4 linked regions of the Medicago truncatula genome follow. Each later gene encodes a partner of the first gene's protein in a complex. Links are inferred from orthologs where the notes say so. Each region holds a gene or a part of one and is shown in the gene's direction. Other genes may lie near its edges.

Region 1 (7,508 bases):
TGCTTTTTGAAATCTCCTTATTAAATTTTATAATCTTATTTTCATTTTCTGTCAAATAAGCACCAACTTATTTTAATATATTATATATTACTCTTTAGAAACATGTTTATTAGATTTGTTTTGCTCTTTGGAGCGGGGCTGGGTGTTCAATTTTTACCCCGATATGGTTTGGAGATGGGGGGCGAGGGCGATAATGCTTAAACCCGCCCCCGCGCCCCCGTTGCCATGTCTAATTTTTTTTAGACAACATTGAGTCACAAATGACACGTGTGCACAATGTAACAATAAGGACGAGTTTGATTAACAAAATTACATTTAAGAGACCAAAACGAAACTAAAAATAGTTATGAGATCAAAATGAAACCACATGATAAGTTAATAAAAAAGTATAATTTAGCCTTATTAATAATATTAAAATTATATAAATATATAAATGCACGTTTTTCCCTCGTATTTATTTTAAATAAAAATTTTACCCATTTTTTCTTGACCTAAAGAATGTATAGAATCCATTTTTTTATATATAAATTTTATAAAAATTAATTCTTTAATTTTACTTGTTTTAAATTAATTTGCTAACAACAATTAGTGTAACATCTGAAGAGTACAGTCCTCCCATTTATTCTGATCAGCCATCATTTTTGTACCTATAATAAATAACAATAGTTAAATTTAAGGTAAAATTTAATCATCACAAGTATTGACATAATAATACTAGTGCTCAAAATAGACAATTCTTCTTCATGACATTCCGTTTATTATGTAACAAGCAACATCTCCTTTTTTTCGTTTTAGTTTTGGTTTACCCCTGAAAATCAAACTCACTCATTTGTCCCCACTTCATTTTATTATCATCAATTCATCACACTCAACCTAAACGTTACAAAAAGCACCCAAAATTCAGTTGTAACTTATCAAAGTTAGAAACCAAATCACACAAATTTTGAGCTGTGTTCTTTGCTTTTCTCTCTTTCTCTTTTTTTTTTTTTTTTTATCTACAACAAGCAACCTCTATTAGTTTCTTCATTACATTACCAAATTTTCTCTCATCAGGTACTTAAAGAGTAAGAGGTTGTTTATTCAGTGTAAGAAATAACATATATGCAATTATAGAAATGAAATGAAAATAAGTGTTCTATGGTTTCTTCTTGAATAAGTTGTTGTGTTGAGAATTATTGATGTTCCTAAGAATTAAAATTGCTATAAAGTGAGAGGATTAATGAATCTGAAGAGGATTGTGCAATCTCACTTTCATTTCATGGTTATTGTTTTATTTTTATCTATGTTTATTAGATGTAAATTGAGTATTGCCCTGTGCAATTGCGGATACTAATCCGTCAAGTTGAGTAGGATCGCATGAGTTTCAAAGCATTCCTTAAGAGTTTTAATGCTGTTTTGTTCCCAGAGATCACTAATTTTAATGATTTTTTAAGTTGTATGTTGAACTATTTCATTGGAATTTGTTGTGCTTCTGACGACGTTTTTTCTCCTTCTATGCAGATAAGAAAGTTAGGTTTCGATATGGATTCTACAACCAAGGGGGATAGGAAGATTGCACTTGATCTTGCATCATGGCTGTTCAATGTAGTCACATCTGTAGGAATAATCCTTGTGAACAAAGCCCTGATGGCTACATATGGTTTCACTTTTGGTATAGTCATAATTCATCACCCTTTTCAATTCCCCCCTCCCTGATATGTATTAAATAAACTATTTAAAACAACTTATTTGCATGATTTTAGTGTATCTTTGGTTTAACTTTTGGAGAAGTCAAAATTTATTTCAAAGAAGGAGAACTGATTTTGACATGTTTGGAGTTCTCAAGTAAAATTGATTTTGCATTCCGAACTCATTTTAACAGGAAGCTAAAATTTGAAGTTTTCGCCTCTACAATTCATTTTTAATCTTGAATTTATTGTTCAACCGATTTTTTCATAATTGTATACAAATGTAAACCACTTTACGTTCATCTCACTTTAAACCGTTATCACCACCTAACAAAACACACTTATTCTTGTGATTGATAAGCATTATTGTCTATATGTATCTCGCTATCACAAAGTTTATTACTGATAATAGCACTGAATGATTTATTAAACATCATTTCTCTTCTATAACTAGTTGATCAAAGAGTATGTGACTTACGATTTCTTCTAATGTAGTAATTGAGTTCTGACACTGCATATTTATATATTCATACACTATTATTTGTGCAGCTACAACCTTAACTGGTCTGCATTTTGCCACAACAACCTTGCTGACATCATTTCTTAAGTGGAACGGATATATCCAAGACACTCATCTTCCCTTGCCCGATCTTATCAAATTTGTCTTGTTTGCAAATTTCTCTATTGTGGGAATGAACGTGAGTTTAATGTGGAACTCTGTCGGTTTCTATCAGGTAAAGCATCATCACAGTTAAAATTTATATATCCGTGTGATCAAGACAAATATTTATATTGTTTCTTAACCTTGTAATGAAAATTTCAGATTGCTAAGCTGAGTATGATTCCAGTATCTTGTTTCTTGGAAATTGTCTTGGACAATGTGAAATATTCAAGGGACACAAAGCTTAGCATTTCTTTGGTTCTCCTTGGAGTTGCTGTATGTACAGTCACTGATGTGAGTGTCAATGCTAAGGGTTTCATAGCTGCTGCAGTGGCAGTTTGGAGCACCGCACTGCAGCAATATGTAAGTAATATGCTAACCTATATATCAATTCTTAATTTGAGTTGAAAGATTGCAATAGATCAAAATTGAATTTGTTGTCATAAAGGCGGTTCTAGAGTTGGTAAATGTGTACTGTCAGATGCATGGTGCTTGTTGTCATGTATGTAAGAATTAATTCACCTTGTTACAAATCTAAAGTTGACAAAAACAGCCAACTTATGTAATTTCAATGTTGGTGAGATAATCAGCGGTTGACGGTTACTACACACATAATAAATCATTGATATATGGAAATATTTTTCTTTAAATTTCTCATTAATTGTTGACATTGCTTACTTTACCATGTAAATTGAACTGCCAATTCACTTTAGAGGAGCTATATCTTTAATCATTAGTATTATTCTCAAATGCATGTTTTCTTTGTTAGACAATGGACACATGCATGCATCACTATTTTTTATAGGCAAATTATTAGTGGTTAATTTGTTAGAAGGATTTGGATTTGTTAGTAGCAGGGATCGAGCCCTCAACCTATTTTATGATCCTTCGTTAGAGCCTGGATCGAGCCCTGTAACATATGTTAGCTTTGTTCTAGTTCTTACTATACTGTTTTATTAGGATGCCATCAACAATATTTGGCCTGATATTTTACTTTTACTCTGTGCAGTATGTGCATTTTCTGCAGAAGAAGTATTCACTTGGATCTTTCAACTTGTTGGGCCATATAGCACCAATTCAGGCAACAAGTTTACTGGTTGTTGGCCCCTTTCTTGACTATTGGTTAACAAGAAAACGAGTTGATGCCTACAACTATGGTTTAACATCCACTGTATGTTTCACTCTCTCTTTGTTTCTTATATAGCAAATACATCTCTGAAATATGTAAAACTGTTTATCAATGTTTTTCTCCTTTTGTCTGCAGCTGTTCATTGCTCTTTCGTGCACTATCGCGGTTGGAACAAACCTTAGTCAGTTCATATGCATTGGAAGGTTCACAGCAGTATCATTCCAAGTCCTTGGCCATATGAAGACTATTCTGGTCCTTACATTAGGATTCATCTTATTTGGAAGAGAGGGTCTCAATCTACAAGTAATAGTAGGCATGATCATTGCTATAATGGGAATGATTTGGTATGGTAATGCATCTTCAAAGCCAGGAGGAAAAGAGTCTCGTAGTAGCTTGTCCATTCCTATTCCTACCACCAAAACACAAGATTATGATTTACTACCGGTAGTATCTGCTGAAACTGATCACAGTGATGAGGAAGTGTAAGTATAAAGGGATGTGAAACTTCTTCTACTCAAGTACATTGATTGGAAAAGTCATGTATTCATTTGGTGAATTGGTTCATTATCTTTATATAATGTAAAAATATTTGGTCAATTGTTTTCCTATATAGATAATCCATAATGATTTGTGTTATGGAGTTGGAGATAACCCAAAGCTCTATCTGAGTCTATTTTTTTCCATTTATATTACCCATCTCGAAGAAAATCAAGTTATTCATCTCTTGTACCCAAAGTTAATTCTATGTTTTTATCATTGTGGGTACCTATCGTCGGTATGCTAGAATCAAGGTGGTCCATCTTGATTTTTCAAAAGTTATAGTAGTTTTGACACAATCGCGGTCGATAACCGTGATTCTGACATATCCATCGTCAGTGGCGGAACTGGGGGTGGCAACCCATTCTAAAAATAAATAAATTTTTTTATATATTGGAAATTACAAAAATATCCTTCAATAGTACTAATATTTCCTATTCAGTCTCATTTCCTCTTCCCGTTTCTCTTTCATCTGAGAACAAGTGAGAAACGCGATCCTTTTCTTCTCCCAACCAAAGCAAATCGATCCACCACCGCCGGTGAGCCGCGACCACTCTTCTCCTTCTCCATCCATCACTGCCGCCGCGATTACTCTCCTCCTTCAGTTTAGAGAGTTATCTCCATCTCTCTCCACAAACCCTAATTGTTGTAACTTGTAAGGTAATGTGAAATTGAATGTAATTTCCTTCAATTATGATTATGATTTGATGATTACATGTTCTTTAGTTGATTGCCATGAGTTCTTTAGTTGATTTTCAACTCTAATTGTTAAACCTGTTGACTGTTGTTCTTTGCCCCTTTGGTCGTAACCATATTCACTGTCCTTTGTTAATTGATAAATTTATAATTGCATAACCTTTACTCTCTTTACAAAGATTTTTTTGTTAATCATAGTTTTAATCATAGCCTAGTGATGGTTTCACTTTCTAATGAAATTACTTGTTTAAGTCTTTGTGGTAAATTCTTGGAGGAATCTACTGATTAATTTTATGTGAAATATAGTATTATTGATGTAGGACTAAACTTTTTACATCTTAAACTGCTCCAAATTGAAAGCTAATGGAGTGGAATGGATGATGACTCAAGAAGATATGCAGTTAAAATGCCGTATATTTGATGGTTGTTTGAAATTGTGAATATTTTTATGTAATGTTAGATAAATTGGAGCAAGAAGATAGCTATGTGGTTGTAGCTTAATGTTGGAGAAGAGAAGAAGAGTTATTTATGATAAAATGAAACCTTAGAAAAGAACTTTGAGTTTGACAACTAGCTAGAGCAAGAGCCATAGGAGAGATCATGGTTTAGTATTCGGAGCTGTCTGTGCCTTACTGCCAGTTTATTTTCTGCTGTTTTCAGTTTTTTACTGGTTTTTTGGTGCTACTGGTGTAGCAGATCAGCGCTGCTTGCAGCTGTTTTTCTGTCTTTGGTGGTTGCTTTTCAATGATGCTTGGCTAGTTCAGGAGTGAGGAAGGGGTATGCTTGCTCTATGCTAGTATATACTTCGGCCTCATTGTTTGATGCCATTGTTGGTTTTGGGTTTTCTCGGGGAATTGGTGTTATGTATTTAGGCGGCACCTCTTTGTATTTTTTCCCGATTTTTCCTCAAGTTTTTTTAATAGCAGCCACCCCAAACTTTTTTGTCTGGCTCCGCCACTGTCCATCGTAATACCAAACAAACACTAAATTTAATAAGAAACATTTAGCAAGAAATTGGATATGCTTTATGCTTGTCATTTCATATGCACGCTTTATTTTTTCGTCAAGGAGAAAACTTAGGTACAATTCCTTAAGTGCTTTTCGTATGTTTTTTAACTAAATTCACCATGATTTCCTCAAATTCATAATTTTCTCAAAGTTTGTTATATCCAAAAAATATATATTTTTAGTTAAGAACCATACGAAAAGCAACTAAGGAATTATACCTAAATTTTCTCCTTTCGTCAAAATATGTATGCATAATCTCTTAGAACTTCCCTAAAAAAAAATCTCTTAGAACTAAAAATGAATTTTTTTTTATATGTAAATATAACAAAAATATCTTAAAAAGCAAACCACTAAGCAGTTTAGTTTCGGTCGTAATGAGGTTTGTTTGTCGAGGTGGATAGTGATGAGCGAACCATGAGAAATACCTATTTTACCCCTGTCTTGTTCTTGTTATTCCCTCGATTCTTCTTCGCAGTCTCTCTTCTCAGTTCTGATTAGCAATCGTAGCTATTTCTTCTTCTGGTCAACGAATCGTTACCGTGTCCGATTTGTCGCCGGAGCTCTGCTGCTGAACCTCACTCGGAGCATATCGATCTGTGAGTTTATCTCATTAAATAATTAATCCAAATTCACTAATTTTATCTAATCATCAATCTATCTATTTTCGTAATCGTAATGCATACAACTTTAATTCGATCTGCACTTTGCTACTGTTTTGATTTCACCCAAATTCATTCATGACATTTTAAATGCTACCCTTCAATTAGTTAGTTGATTGGTCTCTTCGCCAATGTTGGTTTTAAAAGAGTATCTTTATGTCTCTCTAAGATGCTTGATTAATCATAGAGAGACAAAGTGTCAAACTCTAAACAATGCAATTTTGCTTTCAAATTAGGGCATATGTGGAGAATACTTGCAAAAGAATGGGCAAGGAGGGTAGATAGACAATTTATACTAATAGGTAGAGGAAAAGCAAAGGCCAAACCACTTAATATTTAAAACTTTACTGGCATGAAAAATGAAGCCTTAACAATTAACAAGCATTCATTTCATTTTATATCATGTTCATGATCTCGTCTTTCCCTTACCAGGCTAAAATTCGCAAATGGGTGATCGCCAAGTAGCTGACAACCAGCATACCGTTGATCAACAGCTGCCATCTTCTCCTCCTCTTCCTCCTCCCTCAAAAGATGATATGATTTCATGTGTTATGGCTTTGGAGGCTGCTTTGCTTCCCTGTTTGCCAGCCAGAGAACTTCAAGCAATAGACCGTTCTCCCCACCCTTCCCATCAAAGTGAGTAACTTCAAATCAAATCTTTCAAATTTCTGATTTTGGTTCACTGCATTACAAATTAAGTTACATGATAGCTTAATTTTTTTTTATATTTTTCAGACGAGACTATATATGTAAAAGGGTGTACTTGAGACCTTTTTTGTGATCAATGGATGAATATGATGTACCATGTGATAATTGAGTTGATTGGTTAAACTGTTATGAGTTAACAGACCTTTTTATGTTAAAGTTTAGAATCCTTGCAACAACATTGTGCCCCCCTTGTGGAATTCACTTGTTGACACATTGTTAAATGTGCAGTTATGAGTGCACCAATCATCCATGGGGAGAAAAGAAGGGTGGTAAAAGGTTCATATTGATGATTTTAAATAGATAAATAAATTAGTAAAGAACCAGTGAACCATATGTTAATCAATAATTATTGATATGATGCAATCTAACCACAGAAATGAGTGAAAATGGGATGTACTGATGTCTGATCTTCGATGAAATTCAGTGTTTTGATCTATTTTATT
Region 2 (8,272 bases), about 37 Mb from region 1:
ATAAAATAACAAGCAATGTGAGATGAACCTCTTAGATTTTTTTTTTAATGATGGATATTATAGAGTCATTATCCTAGTTGACTTGTCATTGTAATTGTAAGAGACTTAAAAGATGCTTTCTCTGCCCAAAAACATTGCCAACTTTTCTGCTTGTTTGACTAGCCCCTCTCTTCTTATCTTATCACTTTCTTTTACCATTGTATACAGCTTTTTGGTTTTCTCTCCAATCCATTACTTCATTTCCAAGGTGATGATCAATAAAGGGACAAATCTTTTTTCATTAGAGTTTTTTGCATGTAAAGATGTAACAAAGTGATTAGTAGTAGTTTATTACGTTAGTTGGTGTTTCCAAAGTAATTGTGCATGAGTTGATTTTGGTGAAAAATAAAGTGTTTAGTAGCGAGGAAGGTGAAAAATAATTATGAAGAATGCTACAAAAAGTGTCAAATTATGTGTACCATCCTCCTTTTAAAAATGAAATGAGCAATATAATCACAATCAGCCCAATGACAAGATTAAATAGGGTAAATCCACTCGTCTTACAAAATCAAAGATCAAGTGCATACTGTGTACAATTTATTCTTTTTGTAAAAGATTACATTCTACTCCAACCCCCTTTACTAAAACTTACCATTAATAGTAAACAACAGAGTGGAACACTGATAAAAATGCATCCAAAGTGAAGCTACTAATTGTGGCTTCCGAGAAATTGCGGTGAAATGACCCTTTAAAGGTGAAAATTGAAAACTGGAAGCCGAACCAAATGTATACAAAACTACTTCACACCAAACCCATGTCTTGGCGAATTCAAATTTTGAAAAATAGATTAAAAAACCACTCAGCTGGTGTTTAGCTTTGTCTCAAATCTTCATAACTTCTTAAACTACAGGAACTTTACAAATTTAATGAAATCTTGCTACAAGGACTCGACGAGGTTAATACAGTATCTTCTGTAAAAACTATAATTCGCATATGGCCTCTTATCTTTCGGTTCAACTAACCGAATAGCAGATACTGAACTATGCTACTTTGAACTTTGGAAAAGATAGTTATTTTGTGGACTGTTGAGAAGGATCTTTTTGCTCTTGTTTTGAACCAGTCACAGCTGCAGTTGCTGCTGCTGTCATGGCAGCTGCAGCCGCGCCCATCTTTACACCACCTGCAGCCTTCATTGCACCTGCTATTTTAGCAAACGCCGCTATACCTCCAACAAGGATGGCTCTTAATGCAACTGTTGGTTTTACTGCCATAGCTACTAAGAAAGGGGTAACCTGCAAAATGTAGATCAAACTGATACTTTTCAAACTAAATAGTTTCACAAATCACGACACAAACATAGGATGATCATGACATGCTACATTAACACCATCATGGTTTCCATCAACCGAGCAACATTAACAACCTAAATGAATGCACAGAGACTATGATTTACTATTTACAAACCTGAAATGGATGAAAATTCATTATATATATATATATAGGGGATGTATCAAATGAGAGGACATGTTATTGTGAGAGGATGAGAGGACTCATTTATAGCCATTTAGTTCAAATTAAACGGTTCAGATTTAATGCTCCATATAAAATTAATTACACATGATATTTTATCCCCTTCTAATTCGCTTCTCTCCCTTACTCCTTCTCCTTCCTCCTTCTCTATCGGTTTTCACCTTTCTTCTCTATCAAGCTCCATGGCTCAAACCCAATTTGTTGTACCAGACATACACAGCATGATAAAAGAAAAGATAAAAGAAGTTAGTTTTGCCAACATTATGATATAATGTATTCTTGCCAACATAGAGAGTGATCAAACTTCACTTTATGATATAGTAAGCCTGGAGTCCAAAATAGAGAGTGATCAAACTTCACTTTATGATATAATGTATTCTTGCCAACATTTTAAATTTGCTCCGATTAAGCTTTTGTTAAAAGATTTGAAGAATGGAATGCCTAACAAAAAACCCCTCAAAGACTAATCCCTTACAGAAGTTTAAATTTGCTTCAATTAAGCTTGTGTGAAGATCTGAAGTATGGAAGGCCTAACAAAAAAATCCTGGAAATTTAAAATGACAACAAACGCACCCAAGCCTCCAAAAGGTTGGTGTTGAAAGTACATCAGAATTTGTTAAGACCATCAGAAGTTGATGGTCTTAACATTTTAAATTTGCTTCAATTAAGCTTGTGTGAAGATCTGAAGTATGGAAGGCCTAACAAAAGCTTAATTGAAGCAAAAGGTTGGTGTTGAAAGTACATCAGAATTGGTTTTCGCTAACATCTATCGTCCAAAACAACTTTGTCTATTGGTGGACTCTAGCTTTTATCTCTCTATTTTTTTTTACTGAAAGATCACATATCATAAGCCAAAACAGCTTTAACACAACAAAAAAACTAAATCAACAATTCCAATGTTTCCCATCCATCATCATTACAGAAACATTTTTTTTTTTTTTTCCATTTGTCCTATTTCTTCCGGTGTCATCAAGGCGCTTCAGAGAACCATGTCGAAGGAACTCGGAAAAATGACACAGTAACTTCAGGAGAAAGGGAGCTCTCTTGTGGCTATGATTTACGGAAGTATCCTAGGAGGCTCAAACTCAAGAGGAAATCACAAATAATAGCGGTTTGTTCAAATTCCACTACATGACTACACAACAAAGCTATCATCTCCGCTATTTAACAAAATGTTGTACTAAATGGCGTATCGTGGAACAATGCCGATTTGTTCAAATTCTACTGCGCTATAACGCTAAAATAGCCGTTATTGGACAGCGCTGGCCATCAATCAAGATATCTCATTCTCATTATACTAGTCTGCAAGGTTTGCATAGTTGCATCATATGGGTGGCAGGGTCGGGAGAAAAGGACTAATGTGGAAGCATAAGCCAAACTCAATGAAAATTATAAGGGTGTAAAAAAAAATAGCATTGTACAAAAACCTCTTTTTCTCAAACTCATTGAACATGAATTAAGTTGAAGCATTGATAAGTTAAAACTTAAAAAAGTCCTCTTTGTTTTCATTTTCCAGTATTAATTAACTTCTAATATCACAAATTCACAATCAACCCAGCTAAATAAACCCTAGAAAAAACATAATTTTGCCCCAATTTATAATCTTGATCAAATTCTTTAGGAATGAATATCTAACAAAACAATTGAACATACAATTTTGATGGCATGTAGAATATATACTACGCAGCCAGTTGATTAAAGCTTAAGAGGAAAAAGAAAAAGAAAAAGAAAAAAAAGGGGGGGGGGGGGGGGGGGGGGGGATTAAATTGAAAAATAGTGAAACCTGGAATTGAAAATGGAGGTTGATATGATGAAACCTGAAAGATGAAAAACCTTTAGAAAATGATTATTTGAGGATTGAAATAGAATTGAATTGAACAGACACAGTGAATCTAAACCTTAATGTTTCCTTGTACCTCGGACCTTGAAATCAGGAGGTGTTGTGTTGTTTCTTTCCTGCGGCTGTGTTTGGTGGTAATAACATGAAGGGATTTTGAACACAGTTTTTGTCCTAATTTATGATTTATAAAGGGTTGGTTATTTTTGGCCCCATTTTAATTGTTACTTTACTTTTTTTTACTCAATCTCAAAACAATGGTGGCTATAAAATATCATTATTATTTTTTATTAATATATTTTTATTTATTGAATTTCACCTCATTTAATCATTTTATTAATAACAATAATAATAATTAAAAAGACTATTTTAATAAATAATACTCATTTTATCATTGTGATCAATTTAACTAATTATTTGTCTAAAAAAATCTAACTAATTATTTTAAAGAATCGCGCACAACCCAAAAATAATAATTAAAATAAGACGGAGGAAGTGAAAGACTAAAATTCTAATTACTTATAGTAGTTTAAAGTAGAACTTTAGAAATTTGTAAGAACTTTTGATTAGAATTTAAATGGATTGATATTATAATTTTTATAGGATTTTAAATGAATTTATGATTTATAAGATTTAAAATGATCGGCTGAATTTCAAACAAATATTTAAAAGAAATGATAGGACACTCATTTCTATTTAATATTATTATAATACAATCATTTTTAATTGTTAAAATTCAAATAAATTTCACTAGTTTTTGTCTTTTATATGAATTTCAACAAATAAAATAAAACTGAATGTCTTGACAAAAAAACGAATGTGTTAAAAAAATTGCAAAATTATCGGAGTCCATAAAAAATAATAACAAAATAATAAGATTTTAATAAGAAAAGTTAAATCTCATAATTTAATATATTTTAAGTACTACTAGAACACGTTCCTCTCTTGCGAGCAAGCTTCACAAATTAGTACCTTTAATTTTAGCGTTGAATAATTTGCAAATACTAGATACATCTTTAGATAAGTTGTTTGGAATTGATGGGTAAACCATCACTCAAGTAGTAATCATCATGAACATATTGAGTTTGACTTTGACCTAAATATTTCTATTGTAGATAATGTAAGAGATGCATCTAACCAAGACTATGAATCCAATTCTATTTGATGCTAAAAATTAAATCACAATGTTATTAATGATATAGAAATAGTACTTGCAAACTTTTTTTTTTTTGTAAAGAACTATAAATTTTAGTTTCTGTTGGTTAAAAAATACTCCATCCATCCTGCAATAAATGACCTGTTTGAAAATGTGTAATTTTGATCTATCTTATTTTAACCATATTTTTCTACTAATATACAAAGATAAATAATATCATATAAGATGTCGTTAGATTCGTCTCGATGAGTATTTTCAAAATATCAAATTTTCATAATTTTTTCTAATATATTATTCAAGATATTTAAACTCAAAATTACGTATGCGTAATTGGGTCAACTGTCTCTGTTATTTAGAGATCGAGGAGAACACTTAAAAGAGGGATCGAATTGAAGCGAAGGTGTAAGGATAGAGCAATGGAACATTACTCTTCTCCCGGAGGAACATGGACGATGATCCCAACCCCTAATTCCAATCCCCAAATTCAATCTCAATCTCAATCTCAATCCAATCAAGACCCAAATCTTTATCTTCAACAACAACAACAATTTCTTCATCAACAACAACAACAACCTTTTCAACAATCTCAAACAACCCAATCTCAATTCCAACAACAACAACAGCAACAACTTTATCAACAGCAACAACAACAACGTATTCTGCAACAGCAACAGCAACAGCTACAACAACCTCAACAGCAGCAGAATCTTCATCAATCACTCGCTTCTCACTTTCATCTCTTAAATGTATGTTAACCCCTTCAAAAACCCTAATTTTAATTAATTTCAATTATTTTCACATTTTATTTAATTAATTGAAGATTTCTTGTTGTGGATATAGTTGGTGGAGAATTTGGCTGAGGTTGTTGAACATGGAAACCCGGATCAGCAATCAGATGCATTGGTATGACTTTTTCTATGTAACACTCACACTTATGATACGACACCCACACATGTGATTAAGTTGAATTAATTTATTTAATCAATATTTTTTTTTACGGGTGTCAGAGTGTAGTGTCATGTCTGATTCATAAGGCTTTTTATTAATTCGTCTCATGGTTATTTATTTGAATTTGAATACATTACTCATTATGTTAATTTTGTTGGTTGAAGATCACTGAATTGAGCAATCATTTTGAGAAGTGTCAGCAGCTGTTAAACTCAATCTCTGCTTCTATTAGCACCAAAGCTATGGTATCTCTTCTTTACTTCCTTTTGTTATGCTTTGATTTGATTTAATATATTTATTTTGTGTGCTTGATCATCAATGTAGTAAGAAAATAGTCAGCCGTTGTATTGGTAAAATTCAATGTTTATAGTAATAAGCTATTAAGCGAAGTACATAAAGAGAAGTGATTCGTTGACTCTAGGAGTAAGTATTTAGTGATACTACAAATCCTGACCTTAAATTTGTTATTAGTAATGACTGTGATTGATTACTATTATTACTCACGTGATACTCCTCGAGCCTGCACATGTGAGATGGCTTAGGTTTTAAAAAATGGAGAGCGATACCTTTAGATTATCATCAAAGGCCTATACCCACAAGCCATCGATTATGGTTATAAAAAGGATTACACACTCTTCTTAATCTTGATGCGGTTAGGTAGGTGGATTTGGCAGCAGCTACAGGTCTGTTATATCAGTTGTGGATGGGGGTTTTTGCTGCGTTTCTCTCTGTTTAGCGTAACTGCAGTTTGGTTTTTCTGGTTTTTTATGTTTTCCCGGGGTGCCTTTTCCTCCTGCTGTCTGTTCGGTTGGCATCAGGTTGGGAAGGAGCATTTCGGCCCCTCTTGTAGTTCCTCGCCGTTTTGCACCTCTGGTGCGTGGCTATTAATGTTATGCTGTTTCAAAAAAAAAAAATCTTGATGGTGAAAAAGTCAAATTGGGCTTTTCGGTGTTCATTCCAGTGTTGTCAATTGCGGAATACGGAAAATAGTCTTATGTTTGAATTTCCCTATACTACCGAGCTATCGCGCCACACTAGCAGCTATTTGACAACACTTTGTAGTAAATAGCTGATTGCCGAACAATAGCGTTTTATTCATATTCCGCCTGTACTGTTATCGAATATCAGCCATGGAGGAAATTGGTGGCCGTTTTGTGGCTCTCCGCAATGCCCAATTTTGGCAAATATGGAGGGATTTTATGCCATAATCTGATGTGACGGCGCCACAAAGCGGTCGGTATGGTGGGACTTTGGTTCTCTGCCACATACAGCCTTCTGCCATAGACAACACTGAATTCCATTATGCTATAGCGCTGTAGCTGCTATTTGACAACACTTCGATTTGAAAGTTCTATTTTGATCTTACCACAAATAATTGGGTATTCTGGCGATTATAGCATCTGATTGTGAAATATTGGTCATGCTTTTTTTTAAATTTTATACCTAGTCTTTGTTTTCATATCATTATCTCGATGGACAGAAACACATGGTATATGACATACCTTGATGATTAGAAAAGGAATGAATAAAACAAATGATTTCAATGACGCAATACATAGACTCAAGAAATATGGCCCTCATAAATTTCTGCAGGTTAAGCTGTTTTTTTTCGTGTAAAGTAACAAACAAACTAGGAAGGTGATGTTAGAGAAGAAAAGAAATCAGTGACTAATTGAAAAACCACTTGAGAGAAATCAATGACTAATTGAAGTATTTCGGTGTAACTCTAAATACGTACTCTCATAGATATGTGTGTGATTTTGTGTCTAAATTGACATTCTGTTAATACTGTTTAGCCCTGGCTTCATAGATAGTCAGATTTTTGTTTTTAATATTTATTTCCGGTCCTTCTAATAACGAGGAGTCGAGGACTCTTAAGACATTTGTTAAAGAATCAAGATTTAGAAAGCTTTTATTGAAAATCAAAGTATTCAAAATTCAATGTATTATTATTCATCTCAAAAGCTCCACTTCTGATTTCTTGACATTTTCCTTTTTGTTTAATAACATGCCCTGTGCATGATAAACAATAATTGCTGATGTTATTAATAAGAAGAATGATTCGTCTGCTCTCAGTTTTCTCAATGTGATTGTCCTCGAACCATTAAAAAGTTAAGTCTTTTGCTAGTAGTTTGAAGCCGGGGTTCTTGGCCTAACTTATAGCTTTTCGGTTGCTTAATCCAGACCGTTGAGGGACAGAAGAAGAAGCTGGAGGAAAGCGAGCAATTGCTAAATCAAAGAAGGTCTGTACAAATTGTATTAAATATCTCTGCTTGGTTAAGTCCATAGATTCTAAATACATGCTGTTTTCTTCTATTTCAGAGATTTGATTGCCAATTACACAAAATCTGTAGAGGAGCTTGTCAGATCTGAGCCATAAGAGCCTGTAATTCTTTTCAGACAGGTAATGAACCTTATATGAGATTTTATTTGTTACTACCTCCGTCCCTAATTACAAGGCCCTTTTGAAAAAATAACGGGAATTAAGATAGTGGATATTTGTATTAAATATGTTTGTAATTACTATTGTTTTTACAATTTTATCCTTTAAGAAAGAGGGTTGGCTTATGTTTTCAACATTCTATTTATTGTTGATTGAAGAAAAAGATGTATAATGGAATAGGGGCATGTATGTAAAGAAATAATTAATGTAGTTGAAAATAGAAAAGGGGTCTTATAAAAAGGGACAAAAAAAATTCTCAAAAGAGTCTTATAATTAGGGACGGAGGTAGTATTAGATTGCAGCTTCCATGTTTTACTGGATGTGGATTACCTGATTTTCACCTTAAAATTAAGATGAAACGAAATGCTAATATTCATTG
Region 3 (7,458 bases), on another chromosome or scaffold:
CGAGCACAGCTACTCGCGAGGCGAGCGATGAACTTCTGTACGGGCAGAAAACTGGTTTTTCCCAAAAATCCCATTTTCCTCCCAATCACTCCCCAAATCAGTTTACAGATGAGAAATGAATGTTTCTATGCAACCAAAACCAAATTCTAACATCAGAACAGCAATATCTACCCCAAAAACCATAAATTCAATTAAAACCCAATTCCTCAATTTCACTCCAAAAACCTGTTAAACTCAAATCAGACTTTAAAATCTACACTATTGAAGTAAACCTCACCCTTACCTTAGTTCAGAATAAAAATGCACAGCAAAAATGGATTCCCTTGGTTCTTCTCCCTTGTTCCTGGTTTCACATAAACTGCTTCTGACATCCAATTCTCAACTTCCCTCTTACTTAACTCCCTAATATTTCCATTAGCTCCCCATTAATTTTAATAATTATTAAATAACTCTCCAAACTCCAAAATAACTAATATTTCATACTTATTATAATTATTATTAAATAAACTATATAATAAAATAATACACCACATAAAACACTCAAAAATCACATATATATAAATATATATATATATATATATATATATATATATATATATATATATATATACTCCGCATAAATCACCAAACATCATATATAAAAATATATATACTCCACATAATTCAAATTAATTAAATAAACAACTAGGGCGTTACAAATCACATCGCTCTACCCATCAGTGACTAAAGATCGACTCATCTGGAAAAAAGAAAATCATGGCGAATACTCTATTCGTAGTGCATACTGTTTTTTTGTTCAAGAATTACTTGAGACATCCCATTTCAAGGTACTAGGCTCTTGGAATATAATTTGGAAGTTCAAGATTCCTCCGAAGGTAAAAAAAATTATGTGGCAAATTTGTAGGAATTGCTTACCAACCCGTGTACGTCTAAAAGATAAAGGAGTCACATGCCCTATGAATTGTACATTGTGTACGGTGAGCAATGAGGATACACTTCATTTATTTTTTCAATTTTCAAGTAGCTTAAATGTTTGGAGTATGCTTCCTTTCTTTTCTTCTATTTCTATTTTGCTACAAGATATGGATAACAAGAATATTATCTTCAAAGTATTACATGATTTATCTAAGGATGATGCAACTTTATTTTGTTGTGTGTTGTGGACTATGTGGAAACAAAGAAACAACAGAGTGTGGGATGAGGTAATTGATGCTCCAGTTTATGTTGTTGAGAGAGAAAATGTTATGCTTCATGATTGGCAAGATGCATGTAGGATTTGTAATACATCTTGTGCACAGTTGCGACAAGAAGGAAATGTGAAATGGATCAAGCCAGTTAAAGGAAGATTTAAGTGCAATATTGATGCTTCTTTCTCCCAGCTTTCTAATAGAGTGGGAATAGAAGTTTGTATAAGAGATGAGGCAATTTTGTTTTGGCAAAAACTGAATGGTTTACTCGAGTCTGGGAGGTACATGTTGGCGAAGCTCTTGGACTGTTATCAGCTTTAGAATGGGTTCATCAGTTACACTTGGGACCTATCGATTTTGAGCTTGATGCTAAAAAAAGTTGTAGATAGTTTTTCCTCTGCACATCAGGATTTTACAGAATTTGGGATGATAATTCATAATTGTAAAACTATCTTTGAACAATACTATGTCAACTCTAGTGTTGAGTTTGTGAGGAGACAAGCAAATGAGGCAGCCCCTAGATTAGCTAAGGCGGCCATATCCTCAACTAGTTTCTAGATTTTGTTAGAAATACCAAATTATATTGAACACATTTTAATCAATGAAATGGTATAACCTCCTTTCATTTAAAAAAATAAAAGGCTTAATTGAACTGCCGATCCTTTAACGTATTTCTTTTATTCAATTTGGTCCTATAAGTCTTAACTTTCTCAAACACGTCCCTGAACTTATTTCTTTTATTAAATTTGATCAATTTTGATAATTTTAATCCTCTAAAAAAAGATATCGTTGGATTAGGGAGGTCTATAAGATTTTATAGTGTATCACCAACACCTAATTTATTTACTTTCTTCTTCTTCTTCCATCATCTTCATAAAATAAAATAGAAAAACCCAATTTTTTTTTTCAATATCATCTTTATCAATCTTCATACAAAACCTCAATTAAACCTCAACAAGTTCCAAATTTGACATAAGAAATAATGACCCGTATGCAAAAGCATGGATCTGTTCTGTTCCATAAAAGTAAATAAACTCAGCACAAGAAATTTTTGAAGGTTTAATTTCTATCATTTTCAGTAAATTGATCTACCACACGTGGACCCATTGGAGTAAGCTTTTGAAGAAATTTCTGTCATTTCAGAACCATGCAGTGTAGGTGGGAGTTACAGCTACAACTACTCCACCATCGCCACTGCCACCGTGCCGGAAACAAGAGAAGACGAAGTTACAAGTAAGCAAAGGATCAGAGAGGGAACTCATAACCGGAATCGGAATCAAAGCCACACCAATGCATCAAGGAATCGTTCTTACAAAGACGACGACCCAAATTACTGGCGTGGGTACTGGAGATTCCACGGGAGAAGAAAGTTGTGGTTGGTTCAGGGTCGGTTCGTTAGAGGGAGTTTCCCAACAAGGGATTTCTATTTTTTATTTTTTTTGTAGTGATTTGAAGAATCTTTTTGTTTTCTGTTTTGAATGAAATGGTTTTGAAATGATTCGACGGTGATTTGGGAATCTGTATGTGTGTGATTAGAGCTGTCAAAACGGGCCAGGCCGTATGGACTGGCCCGTTTAGCCCGATTAATTATAGGGCTTGGGCCTTAAATATTGAGTCCGAATTTTAATAGGGCTTTTTAGCCCGGCCCTAAAAAGCCCGCTATCCGTTAGGGCTAGCCCGAACGGGCCGAGGGTAGCCCGCTAGCCCGCATAACAAAAAAAATCCTATAAATTATATATATTTTTCAAATAATTCTTTACTTAGTCGATTATCAAGTAATAAATAAAAGTGAAAATTCAATGAATTAACACAAATATACATGTAATATAAAATTATATTCACTCGTTTCGTTATTTATAATTTTAAAGATCGAATATATAAATATCTATAACCATAACGTATCTAATTTATTTAAAATTGTTTTCCTCGCCGTTTTAGTTTACGACGTTTGTACGAAAATGTTTACAATTTATTTTGTTCTAGGCATTATTTAAACATATTAAAAATATTATTTATAAAAAAAAATTATAGGAGTATTTTATAGTACTTTTTGAAAAAAAAAATATATATAATTTTTAAAACGGGTCGGCCCGTTAATCCCGCGGCCCGTGTAGGGCCGGACTCGGGTAGTATATTTCAAGCCCGTTTTTCAACCGGGCTTTTTGGCCCGGCCCGATAAAGCCCGAAGCCCGTTAGGGCCGACCCTAAACGAGCCGGGCCGCCCGTTTTGACAACTCTATGTGTGATTTTGAATTTTGAAGGTTTAATTGTAATTCAATTTTATATAAAGCTCAAGTATCTAAAAAATTGTTGGATTTCTAAAAAAATTCAAAAACCCATTTGATGATAATGTTGATTTTGGGTATGAGATTTGATTTTGGTGTGTTACAGAAACGGTGTGACTTAGGGAAGCAATTATGTGGATTATGATGATAATGTTGGATTTGGGTGTGAGATTTGAAGTTGGAAGTTTGATTTAGGGATGGTTATGGTGGAGTGATTAATTTCGGGTTTGAGTTGATGAGGATGAAAGAGGGTGTTGATGATGATAGATGAAGTTGACAATGATGGTGGTGTAGTAATTAAATAGTAGGTTTAAATATTTTTTTTCTTCTGATTTTATTGATGAATATTGATGAAGGATGAATGAAGATGAAGAAGAAAGTAAATAAATTAGGTGTTACTGATACACTATAAAATCTGATAGACCTCCGTAATCCAACAATTTTTTTTTTTTAAGATATTAAAATTATCAAAATTGGAGCAAATTGAATAAAAGAAATAAGTTAAAGGATTGGCAGATCAATTATGCCAAAAAAAAAAAAAAAAACTAGTCGACCAACTCCAAATGGGTTTCTAGCTTACCCATTAACCCATGATCTAAGACTGACCCATCAACCCAATTAATAATAGGTAATACTGGTGCGATTAAGAAACGAAAAGAACAAAACGAGAGAAACACTCTCGAAGAAGAGAGAAAAAATTGCGCCATTGTGGGTGGGATTACAAGTACAACTGCTGGTGAGTGAGGGAGTCAATGGCTTCGTTGTAATCAAAACTTCATCTTTGATTTCATCTCCTTTTTGTGATTAAGTTTTGCATTTGATTCTGTTGTGTTTGTTTTTGGGTTTTCACTATATTGCTCAACCAATCGTAATAGTTTAGATTTTATAATGTATGCCAAGTGTTTGATAAATTGTTTATATATCAATTTGTTCGTTTTCAAATTCAAATTTCTACTTTCTGTTCCTTATTTTGCAGTTGACAACTAGAATTTTATTGAGTCAATTTCCACCACAAAGTTGTTCTTGTAATGGATATAATCTCTCAGCTACAAGAACAAGTTAATTTGATTGCAAACTTAGCTTTAAATACCGTCGGAACATTGCAAAGGGATGCTCCTCCTAACCGCCTCTCGCCAAATTACCCCGAACCACCTCCACATCCTACGGAGGACGGGGCAAATTTTTCTGAAGAACCGAAGCTCATGGGTGCTTCTTTGGTCAAGGCTGCTAAGCAGGTATGTTGCATTTTACAAAGTTTCGTAGAAGCTTTAAATATGGTTATGTTGGACTGTAGAAATTGTGAGTAATCTTTTGGATATTATTTTAAATGTAATAAGAGTTGAATCACTAAACTAATTAAATGGACTATGCTATTCCTAACGGGTAAGATTAACTGGCTGAATATAATCTGTAATAATAATTACAAAATATACGATCATATTTACAACAAGTGTCATACATTTTAAACAATTCTGCTCAAATTTGATGGAGTATCAATGCTTGGCGTGTGTTTGTCAATAGCGGCCGCTACAGCTGATATAGCTGTGGGGAGCGGAAATTTTGATGCCGCCGCTCCCAGCCGCGCTCGAGTGGTTCAGATGGGTGAGGCGGCCGCTTTGACCGAGTTATCCCAGCGCTGATCCACTGTGATATTGTCTGTTCCCACCGCATCACCCATGTAAACGTGCTACGTTGCTGTCATGGATCGATTTTTAAGTAAAAATCAGTTTTTAAAACGCGACAAAGAGGAATAACTTAGATCAGGGAAGATAAGGGAAGACTAAACACAGAGTAGTAGGGGAAGATATTCAGATAACCCTTTATCACTGGTTTAGAAGGAGTGAAGAAAAAGAGTAGGAGAGGAAGAAGGCATGAGGGCATTGCTCTTTACACTTTAAAAATTACTGTCCCACACCAGAAAATGACTCAAATGCCCCCAACGGCAGTTAACTGTTCGCTTTTTTGTGGCGGAAGTTAACTGCCGTTCCACAACCATAATTACATATACATTAAAAAAGGTAAAAAAACTACGGCACTTGAGTGTCGTGGAGAATGAAATTTGATTATTGTAATTGGGCCTCTCGTGGAGTATATTATTTCAATAAATATAATTAGACTTTTCACCCGTGCGGCATCAAAACATTACCTGCACTTTTTATTAAAAAATATAGGTGCGATAGATCATAAGGTCCATTAAAAGAACTCATGTTATATGTATGTATGTTAATTTGTTTAGTAAATGTTAGCTTTTACCTGTCACTATGTTTTGTATGAAATGAGCATATGTGACTCCGAAACTTAGATTGCAATTTGAGATATAATGCATAATTGGAATATAAAGGATTATAACCATGTATGTGTCAACATAGTTAGATTAAAAAGCTGCCTATTAATACATAATTGTAATATAAAGGATAACACCAATGTATCTGTGAAACTGGTTAGATTATAAACCCGTCAATTAATTGTCCAAATACTAATATACATATAAATTGGTCTAAAGTGTATGCGTTTTCAGCAGATAAAAACATATGTCATGGAATGGCAGAACATACTCTCCATATACGTAAACCATAAATAAAATCAAACACATAATAGCTTGCTACAACGACTAATTAAAAATCTTTTCCAATTGAAATTATTTTTGTTACCTAACAGAACCATATTTTGTTCCTAGGCCATGTTGTTACAATCACTTTATTTACAATAAAAGTACTAAACATCCTTCTAGCACACAACACAGCATTTTGGTGATGACTAACAACGATCAACATAAGATGAATAACATATACATCGTCCCACAACAGTTTGAAAGGAAACATAGGAGACAAATTGGCATCCTCATCAATCCTATTAACGACAAACTTCATGGTTGGGATGAAAGTTGGATATCGAATCGATTTACCAAACCTATCCTTAATCCTTATCTTAAACTTTCCATTCCCAACCAAAACAACCGTAACCCAGGCACCAAGTGAAACATTGTAAAAGTCATGCAGTGCGCGCCATCCCTTTGTCAGGAAAATGCCGCCATTATTCCTCTGCACCAAAACTTCTAACTCATTATAGTTGGGATTCACTAACGTCGCGGCGTAGCGACCGATCTGGTCCCCAAAGTCATGTCCAAACATGGTTGACAGCATGACAACACCCTGCAAGCACGAAACCAAATCAAAATAGCATCAATGAATATACCATTGATATCACAAAACAGAAACAAAACTTAAAATAGTTTAATCAACCCACATGATCAACATCAAACTCTATGATTTAAGTCCTATAAATGTCTTTACCAGTAAGTGTTCTTCATTAGCTAATTTAGTTACTGACATTCATGTAGTCAGCCTCTTCTTAAAAGCTGGAATTAAATGTATAAAATTAATAAAATTAGATTTCTGCTAAAGTTAAAGGTCTAAAATATAGCAGATGAAAAGAATTGGGCATATGTACCTTTCTATTATGCATAGCTATGAATTGTTGGATGACAGCAGAGTCATCAGTAGTCCTTTTCACAGAAAAGCAATGCCAATTATTTATTATATTACCATCACCAACTTCAACCTTGAACGACCATTGCTTATCTAAGAATGACTGAAATTCTGATGGATAATCATCATTTTTCTCGTTCTGCACATCAAGAATCAGTTTTTTATACAAACAGACAAATCACTTGTTTACAAAACCACCAGTTGAATAAATTAAAATAAGTAACTAAGATTGCCCCATCAGCTCGACCAAGAAAATATCGAACATTTCGTCCCAAAAATTTTAGAAACAACTTCTAACAACACAAAAGCAGTAGAACCGGTTTCATCCATAGCAATGACTTGCACCTTGAACCTATATTAAATAAACACTACAATATGAATTTTGTCTAGCAATTTGGAAATCGAAATAAGAAAGTTGCAAATTAAATATTAAAGTAACAAAAGTAAGCATTTTTCCTCTTGAAGTTTGACTAAAGTGTTCATGTATATCCCACACTC
Region 4 (7,078 bases), on another chromosome or scaffold:
AGATATGTACGCGCACACAGAAAGAAGAAAAAAAGACAGTACAATATGGACACACTCAAATATATTTTTATTTATTATCAGTTTCTGCCTCATGGATGCACAAAAAATTAGTACACAAACCTGTTCCCCATAATCATTCCGTTCACGTATGCTTGTAGCTAACCCCATTATGTACGTGTCTACAGGGGCTCGCTCCTTAGTCCAGCAGGATTCGATAATCTGACAGCTGGCCTTTGTGACACTCTCGAACATGGTCCCCTGGTTACTACTCCATGTTTCAGGCTGCTAAGTAACATTTCAAAAGAATTTAAAAAACAAGCAAAGCAAATTTCATGAAGTTATATGTCAATTGGAATGCAAGTTTGAAAACAAAATGTTTATGGAAATATGATATTGAAAAGTAACCAAAGTGCACCTGAGCACAAACGTTGAGCACAATTGGTTTTAGGCGAATGAGCAAAATCCGCAACGGCTGACCTCCTCGGGCAATGGCAATTTGTGCTACCCCAAGAAGCAAGGAACCAAAGAGCTCTTCACATGTTCTCAACTTCCTCCATCCAGATAGCAAGCACGCCTCGGCTGCATCTATCAGTATCGCAACTGCCTCATAAACCAATCTCTTGACGGATCTCGAATCAGAACCCAATGCCGAGAGGCTCTTGATTTTCATAGAAACTGCAGCTTTATAAACTGACAATTTGGTATTAATTCTAGCTTTTAGACTTGACCCCTGCTCATGCCAATCCCTCTTCCTTATCTGCAAGAACTTCCAGACATTAAAACATGTCTCACTCCTCAAATAAACCTAAACTTTAACCACTATAGTGGCACTATACCGCTATAGCATAGCGGTATTTGGACAAACTGCTATTGTTCCCCAATAAGCTATTTAGTACAAAATGTTATCAAATAGCCTCTATAGTGGCGATATAGCACTATCGCATAGCACGGAATTTTAACAATGCGTAATTGACAACACTAGTTTAAATTTTAACCTCACTCCACTATCCACATTCAACGGTGCATAAACCATGACGAATCATAACAGAGAAAATAAATACAAACTGAAGGCATTGTAAGAAAAAATGATTACCTTTAGAAAAGCAGACATAGACTGAATCTGCTTCTTCCCAATCAACCTAGCCTGCTCCAAAAGCGCAGGATCAACATGAACCTTTTCCAACACATGAGCAATCAATTTAAATGCAATTTCTTGTCTCTCCAAAAAGTCCACAGACTCTTCCTCAAAGGACGTAACCTGTTGCCCAGAAGAGCATCCACCACCATCATTTAAACCTAAATTTTGCGCCAATTGATCGGCATTACTCCTCCATATATGACTTCCCCCATTTGCCATAACCGAACCTCTCGATGAAGCGGTGCTAGCAGTGGCATCATCACCAGCAGCCTTAGAAGCCGCTCCACTCGAATTACTAGTCAGACTACCGTTATAATTGGTCTGAGATTGATGATTTCCACTCAGAGGCGAGCTCTGAGCAGAAAAATTATCGGAATTTCCGGCATTTTGCTCCCCGGGCGCGCTAGGAACAGCCACAGCAATCTGTGCCGCATATTGTTCAATCAAACAAGTAACCAATTTATTTCCATCGGAAGACGAAATAGGAAGAAAATTCTGCGACACAGCCATCAAAAAAGCCCTAGCAATAACAGAATCCTGTTCCGCAATCGCGGATAACACAACTTCACCGGTGAATCCAGCAACCTCGTCCGCGAAATCCGACGAAGATTGTGCAGCTTTGGAAACATAACCAATGAAATCGTTGAAGAAAGATGCAACGAAATCGGCGTTGAACGGTTGAGGCCAAAAGGAGTGAGTAAAGGAATGCGGAATTGAACGGAGGAACTCGATTGCGACTGATTTAGGTCGTAGATCGGTGGAATCTACGCAGTTAGATAAGAAACGAGCGACGGCGGTAACGGCATTGAGCTGAGAACGTGAAACCCTAGGCGATCCGGCGGAAAGATACTCCGGCGGTGGACATTTATCGCAAATCCACGAGAGTTTATCGGAGAATTGCGATGGATTTTGTGCAATGAGGTCGCATAATTCGATCAACGCTTCCATCACGAATTAGGGTGAAAATTCAAACGAAAAATGAGAGAATGTTGAGATTTCAGAAGAGATCGTGGCGTTCGATTCTCTCTCTAACCACGTACCAACATTGTTACTCTTCTTCTCGTCGTTGCAGTTTCCATGCCATGGTTAATGCTTTCTTTTCTCTTTTTCTCTTTCTTTTTTACTTTTTCTTTTTATATTTTTAATTCTTTTTTTTTCTTTTTCCTTTTGGGTTTGCGATAATTTTAGATTCGGGTTTTGGATTTGTCTAATTTGAACTAGAATTGGGGGTGGGGTCAGTGGGCCACGGCGTGTGTCTTGTGCCTCAGCGATACGGCATCCGTTTTCAGTTTCTCACGCGTGGGAATACATGGTGTTCATTTCATAATTATTTTTGGTTGGTGAATTCATTTTTCATGTTTTGAAGGCATTCGTTTTTTCTTTGTCACTACAATAAATAATGATAATGACTTTTTATCTATATTCTCAACTAGATTTCATCGAAATAAATATAAATAAATAGCTAAAGATCAAAATACGTCCTAGGGCCTTTGGAATGTATTTTTTTTTTAAATTTAAATTTAAACTCTCCCTCGTCACATTTATAAGCAAAAAGATAATTTTTTAGATAGTTATTCCATAAATTGTCTTAGAATACACAATGTTTTGAAGGAATCGAAATACATATTATGAGCAACGTTAAGAACATTTTTTGAAGTGTTATCGAGTATCAACAAATATGCAACATTTTGTGTAGAGCTACTACTAGCATGAGGATGAGACTGAGAAGATAAAAAAATCGGAGGAGCCCACAACACAATTGTACCAAGGCAAATAGTGATACCCACGTTGTACCCGATGGACAAGAAACATTGGAAGAAACATAAACAACAATTCACCGATATTTCTTAATCTAAGAACACTTAAATGAGATGACACAAATATCTTGCAGCTTAACTAATGTCATGAATTTGAATCCGGCATGGGCAAGCAAAAACGTTCAAACTCTTGGAAAGAGTTGATGATCACTGAGGGATTAACCTCCCAAGTTGTGAGTAGAGGATATCTGATTTACAAAAAAAAACAAAAAAACAAAAAAAATCTTTTAAGTCATGTTGAGAGAAGTTATGCCTAGGTAGCTCGAGTGTTAACCCACTTGGCTATATAGGAATCAAACTTTTTTGATTGTATTGTAACCTAATTTAAATTTGATTTGTAATTTCTTAAAAGTTTGATATGATCAGTGACAAATCCATAAATTTTAATAAGTGGGGTCAAGTTATATCATAAAAATTTATATAAAACTTTATAAATGTGTAAGCGTGTGAAAGTTATACAAGTTATATATATAATTGCCCTAAAATGTTGATTTTTTAAAAATATTTGTCAAGTTCTAGCGGAGTATAAAAAATATAACCATAATTAATTATTTTTGACCACCAACGTAGCGTCAATCACAACATTTTTTTAACAAATATAAGAATAGTTTATATTATAATAGTAGTTGTATGGTCTTGCCAACGATATGCTTTGAGATAATTGGTTAAAGATTTCGTAAAAGAAAATTTTATCTTAAAGATAAACATTATTTGTATCGATATAATAATTATAACAACTTTTTATAAAAAAAAAAAAAACTACTTCTTTTGATTTACTAACTAGTGCTCTTGTAACACTCGTTAGGATCCTTCTTAGTTTTGTAATTTTTTATAATGTAATAAATAGACTATGTAAAAACAATAATACTATATAAAGAGGGGTCAAACTATATATATAATTTTGGGTTAAAAATACAATACACATGTGGAGGCAAGTGGGGTCGCTTGACCCCATTGTCCCCACACTAGATCCGTGAATGCATATGATAGTTTTATTTTGGGAAGTATTATCATCTATTATATTATTTAATTATTTAAAAAAACTGTATTATTTAATTATACTACTATAGATATGACATTTTGTCAAAAAAATTAACAACTTAGTGGCAAACAAATAATCAAAAAATCTAAATAAATTGTCCAATTTATATTCATAAGGATTTAGATAAGAAATTGAAAAAAATTGGGCCGGAACCCGAGGTCGCCGGGCCATAGAACCGCCCATGCCTATTTATTACAATTTTTTTTTTAAGTTCTCTATCCAACATGTTGTTCCTGGTTTTTCCTTCTAAAATCATTTATCTTAATATTTTTCTCTCCATTTCAATCTAAATGAGTGATTTTTCACGTAGATCTAATTTTTTCTTCGTGATTTTGTCACCTGAGTGTGGTGATGTGTATTTCGTCGTCTTGTGCGATCATGTTTGATTTGTCGTCTTATTGCGGTGTTTTGATTATTCAATCAAAGATTTGAACGTCAATGTTTCAAATCCGAAGAATGGTATTCCGATGTACTATTGATTTGAATGAATGAATGTGGTTTTATTCTATTAAAAAAACAAACATTTTGTCACAAACAACTATAGACGATAATATCTGTTCAAAAAATGGTAAGTAAAAAAAAGAGAAATGATCAATTTGTGACAACTTTTGTACGGCAAAAGTTATGGTGCATAAGTTATTTCCTTATGCACCGTGCATAAACACATCACAACCATCATATTTCTTTTATTTTGAACAAAAATGGTTTGGCTCACATTGGAGGTGTAGGAAGCAATTATGTTGGGATTTATGCACGGTGCATAAGGATTTCCTTATGCACCATAACCACTCCCCTTTTGTACAACTTCCTCACTTATACTCACATGACCGTCTTATCCTCTCTTCTTTTTTTTCTCTCCATTATTTTTGACCAATAAGAAGAGAGAAAAACAAAGTTGTCAAATAATATCATTGCTCTAAAAAAAAATTGAGATGAGATTATAATCGCCAATCCACATCAATTTTTGAAGAGACCCACCCATTGTCATATTGGCTGCCGTCGCACTAACTTAAACTGCCTGTTTTAATCAAAATCTGCCCGGGATCGCAGCCGGAGTCTATCACCAGTTAGAAGACAAAATCCACCGTAAGTTTTTTTTTTTCCTTCTCCCAATTTTCATTTCCTTCTCTTGCAGCGTTATTTCTTAGAGTTGCGTCGCAGCAGATCTCCACTCTCTAGCGATTGCGCGCTCTAGCGGCGTGATTGATATCCTAGATTCTGTATTGTTAATTTTGATATCGTAATTTGGTCTTGATGATAATTTTTAGTGTTCACATGATTTATCTGCCCTTTTGTGTGTTTCATAGGTGTTTAACATCAAAATAAACAGGATTAATGGACAGTGTGGTTGATTCTCTAAATAGTGCCTATCTAGATTTTATTGCTGCAGCAGCAACTGTGCTGGAAGCAAGAGAAACTTCCACTGCCCTTAAAAACATTGCAACAGACACTGCTCTCGAAAGCTTTAAGCAAAAGTGGGAATTGTTTAGAGTAGCGTGTGATCAAGCCGAGGAGTATGTGGAGTCTGTGAAGCAAAGGATTGGATCAGAGTGTTTAGTGGATGAGGCTACAGGGCATGTGGCAGGGAAACCTGGACAAGCTACCATGACGGGTCTTCCACCAATCAGCGCAGTTCGCTTGGAACAGATGAGTAAAGCGGTTCGGTGGCTTGTGATTGAATTGCAGCATGGCTCTGGAGGACCTGCTGGTTCTTCTAGTTCAGCTCTTTCACATCCCTCGGCCCCTTTTGATGCCAGGTTTTCTGAAGATGCTGCTCAGTAGCATTTACCTAACTGTATGAGATTATTAATATTATTAATAATGTCTTGGATTTTATATTTTCACCGCTCAAAATGCACCCGACTTTACTGCTTTTGCCGTTTTTCTACCTGTTTAGTAGCTGTATGTTAAAGGATGTAACTTATGTGCACAGTGCATGATGCAACACTTCTAAGTTTTCAGTTAGTGATGCTTTGGTGTTTTATTGTTTTATATCCCACAAAGATACCGTGCCACCCTTTTGTAACTGAAGATGGATTAGTGTAAGATTAGGTTTGACCCACCCTTTTATTAATACCATATGCACAATTATGTAAGGTTTACCCATTTCCTTGTGATCCTGTGTTTCTGTGCCCTGTAAGACGAGGGTAAAATTAGGTAAATTGGGTTTGTAGTTTGTAGAATTTCAAACTTTGATTTTGTAGGTTTGCAATTGAGGCATATGAAGCACCATATTCCGATTTGTGAGAATCATCTTGATTGTGTGATTTATAAGTATGCTTCTTTTTAGTGTGTGTGTGTGTGTATCTAATTGTGTGTCTGTGTGTGTATTTGCCATTCAAAATTTTTAACCCCCATGAGAATATGTCTTCAGCTTAGTCTTTCAATAATCTCATGGTCTATATAGAGATTATTATTTTAATGTCATTTTCATGATTGAACAACCACCTAAATTTGAAAGACTAAAGGGACGCCAACTCATTCCTAAACAGTTCAAACTTCAAACCAAGGTTTATTTTTATACACAATTATTTATTATTTATTACACAGACCTTATTTAGTAGACCAACAAAACCTTATTTAGTACACAAACAATACCTTATTTAGTACACAGAAACAAGACCTTACAGTACTGAGAAATTCACAACAACATGAAAAGTATTGGGAACGACACAGACACCGATTAACAAAGATACAAACTAGTTCCCTCTTGTTCAGTTGGTGGCCTCTGGTGGGAGTGGCGCCCATACAATGTGCTTTACAGGGAAGAAATGACACAGTGGAGCTTCCCCAGGCTTCATTCCAAGTAGTTGAAATATAAAATGATTAGGATTCATGTCAGACGTGTCTAGGTGGCAAATGCCCAAAGCATCCATCATGTCTCCATATTGACCCCTTAGAAGAACTTTGAAGATCCTACTGCCTATGTCTAGGTAGTGGCAATAGTAAAGAGCATAAGGGTAAGGTCTAGGGTGACAAGCTACCCATTTAGGAGCATAGATATCCTTTGAGATTTCCAAAATGGTGTAGTTTTGCAAACGCACACCTGATGTTGTCGGATAGCTAGTTGTGTGAATGTTA

What was found.
Region 2: mediator of RNA polymerase II transcription subunit 28 (region 1) and mediator of RNA polymerase II transcription subunit 9 share a complex: the UniProt entries of both Arabidopsis thaliana proteins name them as parts of the mediator complex. The link is inferred for Medicago truncatula from reciprocal best matches to the Arabidopsis thaliana genes AT3G52860 and MED9.
Region 3: mediator of RNA polymerase II transcription subunit 28 (region 1) and mediator of RNA polymerase II transcription subunit 21 share a complex: the UniProt entries of both Arabidopsis thaliana proteins name them as parts of the mediator complex. The link is inferred for Medicago truncatula from reciprocal best matches to the Arabidopsis thaliana genes AT3G52860 and MED21.
Region 4: mediator of RNA polymerase II transcription subunit 28 (region 1) and mediator of RNA polymerase II transcription subunit 32 share a complex: the UniProt entries of both Arabidopsis thaliana proteins name them as parts of the mediator complex. The link is inferred for Medicago truncatula from reciprocal best matches to the Arabidopsis thaliana genes AT3G52860 and MED32.

The regions. Positions count from the first base shown.
Region 1 is NC_053049.1:42,679,564-42,687,071, reverse strand, and holds the start of mediator of RNA polymerase II transcription subunit 28, read left to right. Parts: upstream 1-4,385; 5' UTR 4,386-4,654; intron 4,655-4,996; 5' UTR 4,997-5,467; intron 5,468-5,865; exon of another isoform or gene 5,866-6,294; intron 6,295-6,789; 5' UTR 6,790-6,803; coding exon 6,804-6,993; intron 6,994-7,508. Other genes in the region: UDP-rhamnose/UDP-galactose transporter 4, read left to right, coding at 1,220-1,261, 1,501-1,651, 2,217-2,401, 2,491-2,691, 3,338-3,499, 3,593-3,943. UniProt on the Arabidopsis thaliana protein: Component of the Mediator complex, a coactivator involved in the regulated transcription of nearly all RNA polymerase II-dependent genes.
Region 2 is NC_053049.1:5,734,907-5,743,178, reverse strand, and holds the start of mediator of RNA polymerase II transcription subunit 9, read left to right. Parts: upstream 1-4,858; 5' UTR 4,859-4,918; coding exon 4,919-5,248; intron 5,249-5,342; coding exon 5,343-5,405; intron 5,406-5,614; coding exon 5,615-5,695; intron 5,696-7,634; coding exon 7,635-7,693; intron 7,694-7,772; coding exon 7,773-7,830; 3' UTR 7,831-7,854; intron 7,855-8,272. Other genes in the region: uncharacterized protein, read right to left, coding at 1,050-1,250. UniProt on the Arabidopsis thaliana protein: Component of the Mediator complex, a coactivator involved in the regulated transcription of nearly all RNA polymerase II-dependent genes.
Region 3 is NC_053048.1:13,821,178-13,828,635, forward strand, and holds the start of mediator of RNA polymerase II transcription subunit 21, read left to right. Parts: upstream 1-4,058; 5' UTR 4,059-4,208; exon of another isoform or gene 4,209-4,235; intron 4,236-4,448; 5' UTR 4,449-4,500; coding exon 4,501-4,707; intron 4,708-7,458. UniProt on the Arabidopsis thaliana protein: Component of the Mediator complex, a coactivator involved in the regulated transcription of nearly all RNA polymerase II-dependent genes.
Region 4 is NC_053044.1:57,777,027-57,784,104, forward strand, and holds mediator of RNA polymerase II transcription subunit 32, read left to right. Parts: upstream 1-4,922; 5' UTR 4,923-5,083; intron 5,084-5,304; 5' UTR 5,305-5,332; coding exon 5,333-5,779; 3' UTR 5,780-6,170; downstream 6,171-7,078. Other genes in the region: phosphatidylinositol 4-kinase alpha 1, read right to left, coding at 121-285, 416-757, 1,094-2,086; BURP domain-containing protein 9, read right to left, coding at 6,712-7,078. UniProt on the Arabidopsis thaliana protein: Component of the Mediator complex, a coactivator involved in the regulated transcription of nearly all RNA polymerase II-dependent genes.